Linked DNA regions of Astyanax mexicanus. The protein of the gene in region 2 interacts with the protein of the main gene of each other region in a pairwise test. Links are inferred from orthologs where the notes say so. Each region holds a gene or a part of one and is shown on either strand. Other genes may lie near its edges.

Evidence for each region.
Region 1: the proteins of dab1a (region 2) and CLK4-associating serine/arginine rich protein interact in a two-hybrid assay, tested with the Homo sapiens proteins (2 studies listed by BioGRID and IntAct). The link is inferred for Astyanax mexicanus from reciprocal best matches to the Homo sapiens genes DAB1 and CLASRP.

Annotation. Positions count from the first base shown.
Region 1 is NC_064416.1:2,806,778-2,814,736, reverse strand, and holds the start of CLK4-associating serine/arginine rich protein, read right to left. Parts: upstream 3,015-7,959; 5' UTR 2,866-3,014; intron 985-2,865; 5' UTR 944-984; coding exon 845-943; intron 1-844. UniProt on the Homo sapiens protein: Probably functions as an alternative splicing regulator. May regulate the mRNA splicing of genes such as CLK1. May act by regulating members of the CLK kinase family.
Region 2 is NC_064408.1:62,180,481-62,188,213, forward strand, and holds the start of dab1a (DAB adaptor protein 1a), read right to left. Parts: upstream 3,025-7,733; 5' UTR 2,933-3,024; intron 2,418-2,932; 5' UTR 2,314-2,417; intron 2,144-2,313; 5' UTR 1,850-2,143; intron 1-1,849. UniProt on the Homo sapiens protein: Signaling adapter of the reelin-mediated signaling pathway, which regulates the migration and differentiation of postmitotic neurons during brain development.

The DNA.
Region 1 (7,959 bases), on a different chromosome or scaffold from region 2:
TGTAAAGAATACATTACGTTGTTTTGCAGCTTTGCTTTGGAGCGGACTACCTATGGAAATTAAATGTAGCCCATCGGAACAGGTTTTTAAACAGGTTTTTAAACAGGTTTTAATGAGATGGTTATATTAAAACTGTTTATAGACCCTAGACATTGAGAGTACTAAATACATAAGGAATATCATAAGAGAAGCCACCTCGCTGTCTGTCATCTTTGAGTATGTTTTATGTAGGTGTTTTGTGTTTGTGGGCAGTAAAGATGTTTAATTATGGGTGTTTTTTGTAGAGGACCACAATGGAAACAAGCCTTAGTGCTTTACTGTGTTTTAATCCTCAATGATTTGAAGTGCGTAATGTCTTGTCTGTGTATGTACTTTCTGAATCATTAAATAAATTCAATCACTTAATCAATCAATCATCACACTGCCAAGCTAAAGTCGCCACCAAAAGAAAAAGCCTTTAGCTTTGATTAGTGCATGCATTCACTGTAGCATTGTTTCAATAAGCTTCTGCAATGTTGCAATATCACAAGATTTATTTCAATCAGAGTTGCACTCATTTTTTTTTACCAAGATCTTGCATTGATGATGCAAATTACTGTTATGCCATTATATTTTAGATCTACATAAACTGTCTTAAAATGACAGCTCCGTCTCACCGCTATCAGAGGCACAATGCTCAGCCAAATCAGCTCTCCCTCCTGCCCTTCCCCTAAACCCATACATCACCCAGTGCCCCTCCCACACTACTCCTCACTATTTCTTTAGCATACTCTTTAAGGTATATTAATTACACATGGATTAGAAATGGAATTTATTCATTAATATTACAGTGAGTTCTACTCACGATTTTCTCATAGTACTCCCGCCGTCGTTCCCCACGGCGTTTGTAGTCCACCATCATCCCGCGCAACTTGCGCTCATGTTTGCGGGCCTCCTGCCACATGACAGCTCCGCTGGGGGTGGGGGCGCGTCGTGGCACGGCTGCTGGTTTGGTACAGAAAGAGATTCAATCAAACACACATCTGTGTGAGCTGATTCTAATAGAAAAGTGGCAATGACACACTTGCTGAAATTTATTTTTCTAGATGTAAAAAACAAACAATACAAAACAATACAAGAGTTCCAAACACAAAATCCAATGCTGGGGGCATGGTCAAACATTTAACATTTTTATTACAGTTTATGTATATACATATACATATATATATGTCTTTTGTCCCTCAGGCCATAAGACTTTTCAAACTAAAGACACACCCTCAGCTATAACACTATGTTTATAGTTCTACCCTATTCTGCACTAGTAGTTCATTCACTAGTTCATCCATCTACTGTTTACGTATCTTTTGCACTGCTGAATTTAAATCATTATAACTGTTCATTTGCACTTTCTGTATGGCTGACATCAGTTATACTCACTTTATGCACATCAACTGGCTGCACTACCTCCATTCTACATTACACTCACACTAAAGACTGTGCTTTTACATTGTACATTCTACTTTTTTATTTGATTGTATTTATATGTATCTTTATATTTTATATATTTTATTTTGTAACTTTGTGTATTCAATTTGTAACTTTGTGTCTGCTGCTGGATGTCTAGAATTTCCCCTCGGGGATCAATAAAGTATCTATCTATCTATCTATCTATCTATCTATCTATCTATCTATCTATATATATATCTATATATATATATATATATATATATATATATATATGACCAAGACAGCAAGTCTTTGTGAAGTATCAAGAGCCACTATATCAAGGGTAATGTCATATAATACCATACACCAGCATATCGTATTGGATGAGGATTTTTTTTTCTTTTAAAACATTGGCATTGGCTAATATTGTCAATATTGTCAATTATTGTCAATTATTGTCAAAAAGTGACACTGGCCGCACAACTACAATTGGCCGAAACTTAGTTAGAAGTTAGAAAGTTATATCAAGGTGCCTAGTCTCTCTGCAAGTTATAAATGTATAACGTATAAAACATATTCTAGTTAGTTTAACACTTTTTGTTTACAAAATAATTTAGCATGTGTCCCTGTATAGCTTTAATATAGTATTCAATATTAAATTTGCGATGCTTAAAAATTATAATAAGAAATAAAGCACATTGAATGAGAAGAGGTGTGTCCACAATTTTGACTGGTACTCTAGCAATATATTTATGTAATTATAAATATATGTATATTTTCGATGCCGTATCATCATAATCATCATTATAATGACTCCAAACCTAGATAGTTCACATTGACTAGTTAGCTAATATCTTCCACAGATCTAGTTGAACTAATCCAGTTAAACATTAACTCCAGCTTTACCACTGGATTGCAAAGATAAACTGTTACTGTAAGTATAACCAACCAGCCTATATACAAATTAATAGCAAATAAATAGAATTTAATACTTACATTTGAGTCATATTAAATGATAATTAATATTAAATAAACTTAACGTTAGTTATCTAGCTAAATGCATGGTTTACTATGCATGAGCTAAAGCTGCAGGGGAATTAGCTAGCTAAACTTACAGAGATTACCAACAGTTCTCTAGCTAAGCTAAGCAAGCTAAATATTAAATACTATCATATTTATACTAATACAATTAAATATTTATTAAATATAAATATTAAGAAACAGACAGTTAACTAGTTAAGCTAGTTAGCTAACCTATGTTAACTAACTGAGTTAGTTAGCCTAGTTAGCATTAGCGCCCGTTAGCGCTCCAGTAGCTAATGCTAACGAGCTATGCTAAGCTACCTAGCTCTGCACCTAACCCGCTAAAACGCAGAGTTTCCCCCCAGCCGCAGCGCTCACACCCCGTAGGACTGATATATATAAACTGTTAATATTTACCTGCTTTTTAGTTCCCAACAGATGGAAGCGTGTTTTATTAATATCGCTGCTTTATTCCGCCGGAGCGCGCAGGCAGAGGAGCACAGGTCGCCGAGTTAAGCTAAACTATGCTAAGCTAAGCTAAGCTAACTACACACCCCCCTGTCCACAGCGCGGAGTGATACATCCAGAACTAACCAGCGACCCCTGCAGGACCGGAGCTCACAATTTTCTGAATATTTTTTTCTGAATCAGTTTCTCTGATTTTGCTATTTATAGGTTTATGTCTGAGTAAAATGAACATTGTTGTTTTATTCTATAAACTACAGACAACATTTCTCCCAAATTCCAAATAAAAATATTTTAGTTATTTAGAGCATTTATTTGTAGAAAATGAGAAATGTCTGAAATAACAACAACAAAAAAAAAAAAGATGCAGAGCTTTCAGACCTCAAATAATACAAAGAAAAAAAAAAGTTCATATTCATATTCAAGTTTTAAGAGTTCAGAAATAATCAATATTTGGCGGAATAATCCTGGTTTGTTTTTAATCACAGTTTTTTCATACATCTCAGCATCATGTTCTCCTCCACCAGTCTTACACACTGCTTTTGGATAACTTTATGCTGCTTTACTCCTGGTGCAAAAAATCAAGCAGTTCAGTTTGGTGATTTGATGGCTTGTGATCATCCATCTTCCTCTTGATAATTGATAAATCGTCTCTTATTTTTGTCCAGAGCTTTGTTCTTTTGTTTTGAGCTTAATATGTTAATATGTTCCAAATATTACTTACGGCAACTTAAGTATATTTCAATTGTAAATAAGCTTTATTTAAACACAACGTAAAAGCATTAAATTGTGCTTTTGAGTGTGTTTTTTTTTTCTCGTATAACTTCTGCGAACTTAAGCACATTTAAGTGTGTTTTTTAAAGATCATGTTTAATACACTTAAAGTACAATATATTGTAAATGTACTACTTTGCATATTGATGCACATATGGTGTACACCTTAATGCTACTGAAAAAAAGAACTTAAACTACACTAAAGTGCACTTTAAGCAGTAGCCTATTTAATGCTATTATGCAGTATATATTTTCTATCAACACAACATATGTTTTAAAGCATATTGCTTTTACAGAAATATAGTGTAAGTATATTAACACAGAAAATGCACTTAGTATTCTTTACCTAATGTTTTGTGAACATACTTTTAATGCTTTTTTCACAGGACTTGGCACACTGCCCACACTGCCAAAAGTACCAATTGGTCTTATAATAATATAATATTCTAATTTTCTGAGACAATGATTTTTGGGTTTTCATTGGCTGTAAAACATAATATTTAATCAACAGTAAAATAAATAAACGCCTAAAATAGATCACTCTGTGTTTAATACATCTATATAATATATGAGTTTTACATTTCGAACTGGATTACTGAAATAAAGTAACTTTTCAATTATATTCTCAGTTTTTGAGATGCACTAGTATATTGTATTTTTGATTGTGGTGTTGGTCTTTAAGTTGATTTTTTTTTTTTTTTGCTATTTGGGCTAATTGGCACCTGATTAGTGTAAAAAACTTTTCTTTATCATGTATTATCTTTTTACATTATGTAGTTTCTGAGAAAAATTATGTCCACATATGTGGACTGTAGTTTTAAATTTCGCCAGAACACAATGAAGTCGCAATTAGTAATGATGTGCAAAACACTTATTTTGTGTCTGAACACTAGGGGTGTCACGATTCCGATATTTCATCAAAATCGATCGGAATTATGTCATGGTCTCGAGCCTCGAAGTCAAAAAGAGGATCGACGATCCCTCCCTCTAAGCTACGCAAATCGTGCAGCACACTGTAGCCGACGCCGTGGATTTTGTGACTGCTTAAGAGAATGTGGACGTTCTCATCTTCTTAAAGAAAAACTTTCAAATATAAAAATAACAGTTGTTTTGTCTAGCCTCAAATATGTTAATAGTTTTGGTACCTTAAGGAGCATCTTTCTCTCAGATAAAGTTAATAATATATCTTTAATAAAGAAAAAACTTCATTCTCAGGGATTGAGTCTTATTTTTCATGTTTAACTGTTATAGTAGGATAGAGTTCAGTTCGTTAAGGCTCTAATTATTCTATTATTTTATACATGACTGTTCCTGTATTTTTTTATTATTTATTTTATGTTGCACATTGCTGTTTTAATAGTGCACACTGCTGCTACCAAAAAAGCCACTAGATGGCATTACATATATATCTTAATTAAATTATTTAAATTTGACCATTAGTGCCTAATGTGGTGTATTACAGATCACTTGTATCACTTTGCATCACTTATATCAAGCCCACTTTTTGAAATAAGATAGATAGATAGATAGATAGATAGATAGATAGATAGATAGATAGATAGATAGATAGATAGATAGATAGATAGATAGATTTGAGCAATATGGCTCATTTGAATGCTAATTTAACACAAAGACATACAACAATCACCATCACAATCACTAGGTGGCAGTATAATGGCCTCATAAGTGGACACCAGGCCTTTGTAGAGCAACATTAAATGTTGTGGTCTAAACAACCCAAAATGTGATGTTCACACATGTGGACGCCAGGTTCTAGGAGTTTATAAGGGTAATGTGGTACCTGGAATCCAAATAATCAGAATGATCAGAATCAAATGACTCGATCGGTCCTTTCAGTGCAGCACATTCTGTTCTCCTGACCTGTCAGTCTAATTTAATCTGCTGTATTATTTTAGTGCTGATCTGAAGGTATGTTCTCTGGAGGCCTGGCACTGGTTCAGTTCAGTACAGGGCTGAGCTCGGTACACAGATCTGCCCCGGGGCTGTTTTTCAGTTAGGTAAGGTTGTTGGGTGGGGCAGAAGTCATGTCATGTGACGCCCTGCTGGACCGTTCCTCTGCGCCAGTGTGGTCACTCAGGGGGGACTTCCTAGACCACAGTCGCCTCATTTTCAGCCCTTTTATAACCGATGCTCTGGGAGTTAAAGGCCCCGCCGGGCCTGCAGCACTGTGGCCAGGCTTAAACACCCAAACCACAAACATCAAACAGAACCATCAGAACAATGCATCAGAACAAAGCCCTTTTAACATACAAAAAACACAATTGTCTAATTTATTTTTACTATTCATCTTACAGCTCTGGAAAAAATAAGAAAGCACTTAAAAATGATGAGTTTCTTTGATTTTAACAAATTAAAAACCTCTGGAATAGAATCAAGAGGAAGATGGATGATCACAAACCATCAAACCACCAAACTGAACTGCTTGAATTTTTGCACCAGGAGTAAAGCAGCATAAAGTTATCTAAAAGCAGTGTGTAAGACTGGTGGAGGAGAACATGATGCCAAGATGCTTTAGGTTATTCCACCAAATATTGATTTCTGAACTCTTAAAACTTTATGAATATGAACTTGTTTTCTTTGCATTATTTGAGATCTGAAAGCTCTGCATCTTTTTTGTTATTTCAGACATTTATCATTTTCTGTAAATAAATGCTCTAAATGAGAATATTTTTATTTGGAATTTGGGAGAAATGTTGTCTGTAGTTTATAGAATAAAACAACAATGTTCATTTTACTCAAACATAAACCTATAAATAACAAAATCAGAGAAACTGATGTATTTTAAAGACTACAAAAAAAAAACTACATGTAATTAATAATTTCCAGCTTAAAATCACTTTTTATTTTTATTCACTTTTTAATCTTTATCTTTATCATGATTTTAGCAACAACTGGTATTTAAATAAAAACGTGGTTGAGTTGGTTGGTCAGTGACTGTTCTTCTGTTTAAAATATACATTTTTGATATAAAAAAAAAAGAAAATTATCTTAATTACTGTAATATTTTACTGCACCAGTTTGGATAGATTAAACTTTACTTCTTTTATTTAAGCTTTAATTATGGAGACAATATAAGAAATATTAAGTTACTGTAAATTAATATTATTGATAGTCTTCAGTCCCTTTGAAAGTACAGCAAAGTATTATAAAGCTTTTGATGTCCCTTTTTTGATGATAATTTCAAAATTCAGTGGTCCCAACACTTTCAGCTAGGACTGCACTTATTTAACCATTTAAAGTAATTATTTAACTTTATTTATTTAAAGCAGTACTGCGGACATGGCAAACCCGAACAAACACCCATATAAAAAAATATATGTATTATAAAATGTACAATAGAAAATATGTATATTTAAGTATTTAAGGTGAAGATTAAAGTTATTTCTTCATATCTGTAATGAAGTGGTTATTCAGAGTAAATCTTGATTTTTATTGAGTATTAAATTTAAACTCAAAGCACAATTTATACTCATATTGGCCCAAATAATACACAATAAAAATGTAGAAAACATAAAAATCAAACCTCTTTATTGACATTTGCACATTAATAGAGAAATATCTCTAAGCACAATTTAAGCACAATAAAAATATTAAAGCAATCGATGCTGATTGTTGTTCTCTAAGACACCTGTTTAAACTGTTTATGTACACAATTATACAATTCTGATAAATTCCCAAAAATCAGCCAGTAAACAGATTAAACATTCAGTCCTCTTGATCCATTTACCTGCTGTGAGAGAGTATACAATACTGCAATACTTCCACCTGCTGGTCATTCATAACAGAGCAGCTCACAAATATGCTGTAAACACTGTATTCACAGATTTAACAATATTAACAACACAATTCCCTATTGTGTATTGTTATATCCATCAGTTAATAAAGCATATTTTATTTTATATATTATTTATTTTATATTTTATTTATATTATTAAATATACAGTACCAGTGAAAAGTTTGGACACACCTTAATAAAATGTGTTTTTTCATCATTTTAAAATGTTCTGTATTGTAGATTAACACTAAAATCATCCAAACTACGAAGAGAAACATAAAAAGATATGTTAAACAAACCAGAAATTTACATTCTTGAAATAGGCACAGTTTTGAACATCTCTGCTGGATTTTCTCAGTCAGCTTTATAAGGGTAGAGTCACCTGGAATTCAGGCTTTCAGTTAACAGCTGTGCTGAACTCATCAAGAGTTAATTACTTGAATTTCTTGCCTCTTAATGTAAATTTAAGAGCATCA
Region 2 (7,733 bases):
ACTACAGTCTGTACTTATAGAGCTACAAAATGCTCCTATATGGTGTACATGCAAACCAATCAGAATATCAGCACCACTGACAGAGGAAGTGAAAATTATCCTTAATCTCACCATGGCTTCTGGACCTGCACAATATAGGGTTTCATCATTGTCAATGCCCACATTATATTTAAATTAATTAATTTAATTGTTGTTATATTTGCCCAATATCATTTATTTTATTTAAATCCTGCATACATGGAATTAATTAAAAATATCACTGACTTCTTTGACTTCCGGTAAAATTCCTGTACTGTTTAATATCGCAATACATTTTACAAGAAAAAAAAATATTGCAAGGTCAGCCTTTTTTTTCCCACAATCATATATCTCTAGTGGCATCTGTTAAGTGATGGGCTATATTAGGGAGTATGCATAAGGATCTGGCCACTTTAACAAAGGTAAATCAATGCAATGGCTAAATTACTAAATAAGAACATATCTAAAATTCTCTTGAGGGTTTATTTTTGGGGGTATGCAGCAGTCAGTACTTACCAGATGTGCTCCAAGAAAGACAACAAGAGAATCAAAGAGAGGATCATAGCACACTGATGTTTTAAAGGAATTATCTGCTGCTAACATTTTGGGAACATATACCATAGAACATCTTTAGAGGTCTTGTGCATTCTAAACCTTAAACAGACCTACTCAATAGTAGGCACCTGGTGCTACTGTTATTGCTGATCAGTGTATGTGCGTGCGTGCCTGCGTGCAGTAACAACTAGAATAGATTTAAGCAATTAATACAGTAAGATAAGCAATTAAATATCAATATGAATTTCATATTACAGTCATTCCTTTAGCCATGGTGGCAGTAATATGGGCTTGGATGATGACACAGACCCATAACCACAGAAGAAGAGGTAGGAATCATCTTTCACAGTACTCCAATATTAACCTTATAGGCTATAACCCTAAACTGGCTCTTTTAAACGGTTCTATACCATCTGTTTTCTATACAGAACCAGGGTTACATCACCCAGAAACACATAAATGAACCTACCCATGCTCTCACATACACACATGTGCATCTAAAAGTAAAACTTTATGTCCTGCAGCATTAAGTGATGGATATGCTGTCAGAGTGACTGATGGTCAGTGTCAAATCACTGAGCAGCACAAGCTATAGCTTCCAGTAAGAGGCACAGACAAGATACAGGACACATGGCTGGAAAACACACACACACACACACACATACACACACCCCAGTTTATATCAAACAGGGTTGGTCTCAAGAGCAAAAGTAGACTATTCCTTAACTGTTTAAAACTGCCCAAAAAAATCTTTTGCACACTTCTATGCTGCTGGGGTCACCAAAGAGACCTTGAATATAAGCAATAAATGTTCCTACCTATGAACTGATGTTAAATTAATCAGGACTTCATTTCTATTTAACCATTCATTATAAAATGTATATGCATTGTAAACAGCAGCTGCTTTCATTATGCAGAGTTTATACAGTGCTGATATAGAAATAACCAATGTATACACCTCATACACAGTCCTTGACATATACACCCCTATATGTATCACAAAATAATAAAAACACACTGCAGCATAGCAGCTTTACAACACTACTAACAACTGTTGAGACAACATTGCTGCAATTTAGAATATGCACACATTTATGTCTATATTAGGGCTTGATTATCTTCCCAGCAGGGCACATCTCAGCCTCCAGTTCACTTTCTACCAAAGTAGAATTTTACCCATACACACACACACACACACACACACACACACACTTACTTCACACCATGTCATTACAACACACCAAAGACACCTCTAAAAGAAGTAAAAAGCCCCTACCTCTGCTCCTTCTATCTATTCAGGCTCCGCTGCTGGATATACTCTTCCTGTCGCAGAGTCCTCCTCTTTTAACACACCTGTCCTCTTGTTCCCGGATCTCCTCTTCTGAAAAAACGAAGCGTTCTTTAGTTCAGGAGGACCCTCCGGACTGTCAAACAGAGCGTGTGGCTCCGTGGGTGTGGATATCCCAGCAGCAGATAGGAATCCTCTCTCCAGCAGCAGCAGCAGCAAGAACAGCAGCAGCAGCAGCAGCAGCCTGGCTGACTCAACAGCTCTACGAGGGTGACTACAGGACTACAGAGGCAACAGCAGAGTCAGGCTCAAACACACACATCCAATCTCTCTACATACACACATCGTCTCAGCACACACACACCAGGCCCTATCGCCACTATCCCTACTCATCACTACCTTATTCCTTAGAATAGCTGCACCCCGCTCTTCTATTCTTCACTTTCACATACCTCCTATGCCTGTGTTTTCTCTCCATCCATCACCGTCCACGATGTTTAAGCAGGAGCACTCGAAAGTCCCAAGATGACGCCGAGGGGTGAGATGTGTCTTGGTCCTATAAAATCATGAGGAGAGGAAAGGAAACACTCTGTATACGATTTCTCACCATGTTTTTCTGATTAGTATATCATTTGACAAAACGTTTTTTGTGTGAAAATTAGGGCGGTGAAGAAGAGTCCATTATTTAATTTAATTTCATTTGTAACAGAACTGCAATACACAAAGTGCTGGGAGCAGAAACGCAATGAAAGATGCGTAAATGGCTCACTCTCACAGTTTATACTAAACTTAGTTTGTCTCCAAAAGTGCCCAAACACAACAGAATACACATTTCACACTAAAGATCAGTACTTTTCATGTTTAAACAACATCTAGACATTTAAATGTCTTTCAAATTTTATGTTCTGCTGTTTCTATCATTTTTAGCGATAGAGAACATGTCAAAAATAATCGATGACTAATGGACTAATTGAAAAAATAATCTTCAAATTAGTCAACTACAAAAATAATCATTAGTTGCTGACCTAATTAAAATATGTTTGCGTATTGACAAATACAAATTATGCTCACATGCTGTATGTTACAATAAATAAAATTGATGATTGTTACTGTCCTTGATTTTCTTAAGCACCTCCAGCAGACCACTCTGGACCATGGAACCCTGCAGAAATAAAAAAGATCAAATGTTGATCTAATCACAGAGCAAAGTTGTTTCATGCAAAAACACAGAAAGTATAGAAAGAACAAGATTTTTCCCCTTAAAAATAAACTGAAACTGAATTAGCTATTAAGTTTTATTGTAACCATTATTATTCTTTTCATGGAGCTATGACCAAATGTGTTTACTGTTTACACATTGCACTGCGTTTTACAAAGAAAAAAATCTATTTAGAGTTAAATCTGTGCAAATAAAATAACTGTATGTGCAAAACATAGTCAATGATTACTCTGTCTATTGATAATGTACAAATCAGTAGTCAGCTTTGTACAGCCTGTACACCACTCATTTTTGTAGAAGTGATTGTTAAAGCCAGCCAACAAACAGGTTGTTCAGAGACTAATACTGAGAGACAAGCCACAAGGTCAACTTGTGTTTGAATAAATGAGTATTACTGAAAATGCTTTCCATTAGACTTTCTCGAAATAACCATGCACGGCTATGTTTAGGTTATTTTAAAGCAAATTTAAAGGCGGCCTAGATTCGTTTCCTGGCTGGGGTGACCCGGGTCTTTCTGTGGAGTTTGCACGTTCTGCCTTCTGTCTGTGCCATTCATGACCTTGCCTTTTAGTAGCCATTGAAGCTAAACAATTTTTACATCATCAGCAGTAAGCAGAATAATACAATGCTAAATCATTATGGTTAGGGGTGAGCAATAAGCTTTTTTGCGTTAAAAATATTAATGACGATGTGGCAAAGCTTTGTTTTTTTTTTTTTTTGTTGTTGTTGTTTTACTAATTTCAAGAATATACTACAAATTCAGTAAAATAAAAGTTTGTAATTTGTCTATTTAGTACATATCCACTGTAAGCCAGTTCAAACAGCAACATTTTGCTATTCAGTACAAGGTGTATTTCGATACTATAAGCACAGGACAGCTCAGCCACCATGCCAGACATCACATGGCTCAAAAGCTCTTAACCAAAAGTAGCTAGAGCAAACAACCTGATTAACTGGCAAGTTAGCTAACACACAAGCACACAGAAACAAATGCACAAACAAGCACGCACAAACACAGGCACACACACACACAGAAACAAACAAACATACAAACAGGAGCACACAAACAAAAAAAACAAGCACGCAAACACACAAGCAAAAAGAAACAAACAAGCACATGAACAACAATACACACAGTGATAGCTAATCTATTGTTAAATGTTTTACTGTTTTGAGCAAATTAACACTTTCACAGCAGTTGCTGTTAAACTCTCTGTGGTATGAAGCTAACCTAGCTAACTAGTTTACTAGCTAGAGCTAAACTAAAACTCCAACTTAGCAAGTAAACTGCAAGAAATATAGTTTGTAGTTATTAAACTCACTACAAAATAAAACAGCTGGCTCTAGCTAAGTAGGTTGGATATAGTTATTATGGCACCTGCTACCTTACCTTTTCTTTCCCCCTTTTTTACTGAATCTCTGAATTGTTTTCACTTCATTTTCTCTCTGGTGGTTACATTAAGTTACCATTTCTAAGATCTGACTTATGAATGTTAGCTAGGTTAGCTAAACTAGCTAAGCTAGTTAATGGCTAATTCACATAATGTCCACCATCTGAAAATCAATAGCAGTAAAAGCACTTCTATTAGTGTCTCATTAAATCATTCCTACACATAGTAAGTTACTGCCTAACTTCAATGGACATGTTTACGTGCTGTTTACAATACAAAATACAGCATAATGTGATGTTATTAAGTCATATTGCTAAACAATGCTAACTATGTGAACAGAACTTCGCTATAGCATAATAACTGAGCTTTTAAAATGTTGTTTTGCATTTTTCTCAGTTTCTATTAAAGTACATACAGCTGATTCTTTTAAAATGTCCTCCCTATTATTTTAATACTGTGATAAGAATATTCTATGTTTTCAGCAGCTGTAAGTTACCTCTACACATGCTGCAGTAGAACAGTCTGACAACACAAATCAACACTAGTTGTAGAGAACAGGCATGTTTCAGTCTCAGTTTTAAAAAAATATCCTCTCTGAAGTACTGAGCTGTTTAACACAGGATTCCCACCACTAAAAATCACACTGCATGGTCTATATATTTTTTTTTTTATATTATTTATTTTATTGACATTTATAATGTCAACTACACAAAACATATCAGACTATTTTAATAATTAAAAATTAATTGTATTCCATGTGTGTCCCATGTTATGGTCAACTCTATATAAACCTGCAAAAAGTTCAAACGAAAACCATGTGACTTGCATTAATGTCAAATCCCATTATTTAGTATTAAAATCTGAGGATACAACCACAGCATTTATTTGTGGGCAAATATTTTACTTTGCCATTAAGTAAATCAATAAATGTGTTAAATTGATTTATTGTTTTAGCTGTACTATGTGGCATTTTGAGGATATTGAGGATAAAACATTAGTTATGGCACTAAATGGGTGAAAAAAGTAACTTTGTTGGTGTCTAAAACCAGAGAAGGGCAGAATCATGAACACAAACTAAGCAGAGACTCAACAAAAGAGAACACAAAACCAAAAGAGCCAGAAACAGAAAAGTAACCTCGAACAAACAGACAAAGAGAGAAACGCTTTACCTTACCACGTGAATGACAAACCGACTGATTTAAATACACAGAGCAATAAGACGCAGATGAGACAAATAATTATTAATGAGTCCCAGAACAGGCTGAGTGTTGGACAGTTCCTGATTGGTAGAGTGGAGACATGTGACAAAGTTCTTCAGACATTAAGGATTATGGGAATTGTAGTAAAATAGGACAGTGGCAATTGAAGGACGGCATGCAGGCAACAAAAGAGAGGTTTAAATGTTTTAATAAAATAAGATTTCACTATAAACTATTCTTTTCCAAATATGTTATTAATTAATAAAAAAAAACTGTATGGACAGACAACATCAGAACAATGTTTAGTTTTACGTTTCAAGTGCTTTATAAACTATAGACTGCTAAGATACATATAAAATAGGGCTCTTTCCATTAAATATGATCTGCATAATGCAAACAGGCATCATTATTAATGTATCATTCTATACCTTTTAATATTGTACATAAAAGTCTGGAGTCAACACTAAATGGAGCAAAAAAAAAACATCAGATGTACCACCACAGTGACAAGCAAGGTACCATTCCACTGACAGTTTAGTATATTTTTTGTGTAGAGCACACTGAGTGTGCTCTACAGTGTACAATAGCACACTGTGTTCCACAGTACTTATTTATTAAACCAAAATCTGAAGCTTAAATAGAAATATGTGTTTACTAACCAACCGAGAATAAAATAAATTGTTGCTTTTAATGGAAGTCAGTGTAAAAAAGTGTATGTATATGTATTTCAGGTAATTTTGAAGAATTTCTATTGGTCAATTCATCAAGAAAGAAAGTGTGAAAGTGTAACACTTACAGTTTTTCAGGTCAAATTATGTACTTGACTAAAAATAAATAAATAAATAAATAACTTAGAGATACTTGGTTTTCCATGGACAGTGTCAAAATTATTTTAATGGATAATTTGCCCTACTTTTACCTTTGTAGGCTTATTCTAAATCATAGTATTTTAGGAGAATATTTTAGCATATTTCTAGTGCACTTTTATTAAATCTGTACATTTGGTCACTAGAAATAGTGTATGGGTTTTTTTCATCAGTACACCTGTTCAAAGTAATAAGCATCTTAACTGTTTCTCATGGTCTTTGGGAAGTTATTAACACAAAGAATTGTGAACGTTTACTCTATATACATCATAAAAGACAAATTTCTTTTTAAGTAATATCATTTTGTGACAAATGTAGAACCAATGCCTTCACTACATATTTTTACATTTCTAGTCAAACTGTATAATTTGATAATAAAACAAATACATTTTCAGATTTGACAATAAGATTCTGTAGGAAGATGTAGACTGAAGCAAATTGAACATTTCAGATATGGAAACTAGCATGTGAACTGCACTGTCTGTCAGAATGAAGAGAGAGTAACTGATCATTCTGAGATGATCAAAACACACTTGAACGAATTTATACATGAATAACTGTCTCTAACCCAGCAAGAGTTTTCATAAGCCTCTCGTTTCCATGTAGAAGTTCATTAGAGTCATTGGGCTGGAACATTAACCTAAATGATTTAGTTTAAGCGACTCTTAGCCAAAACCAAATAAAGGAGGAACTAAGCAGGCGGAACCTGCCAAAACAAATCTCTCTGCTGGGCGTGAGTCTGGCGGCTTCATTTGCGTGTGATGATGAACACGTTTAACCTGGGTTTGCGCTGGGCCTAGTGTGTCCTGACTGCTCGCGTCTGCATGAGCACAGAGGTAATTACATTTCCAGTCAGAACGAGCTTTCACAGATTCCATTCCACTTATCAAATGTGTCCAATGCTGATCTGAGATCAGATTGTGGTGAATAAAAGCTCATTAATTACCGCAGGTTAGCCTGCAGCCAGGCGACGGAACGGCGCAGGGGTAATTGAAAAGGCTTCCTGCTGTGTGTGTGAGAGAGAGAGAGGGAGATGAATTACATGTGCGTGTGTGTGATTTGTTTCTGCTGTGGTGATGTTTGCTTGTCCTTGTGCTCATGGCTATGGGTGGTGTGTATGTGAGGCACAGTGTATATTTCATGTATTGTGATATTTATACAATGCGACTGTGGCTAAGCTTTGCGATGTGGTGTCAC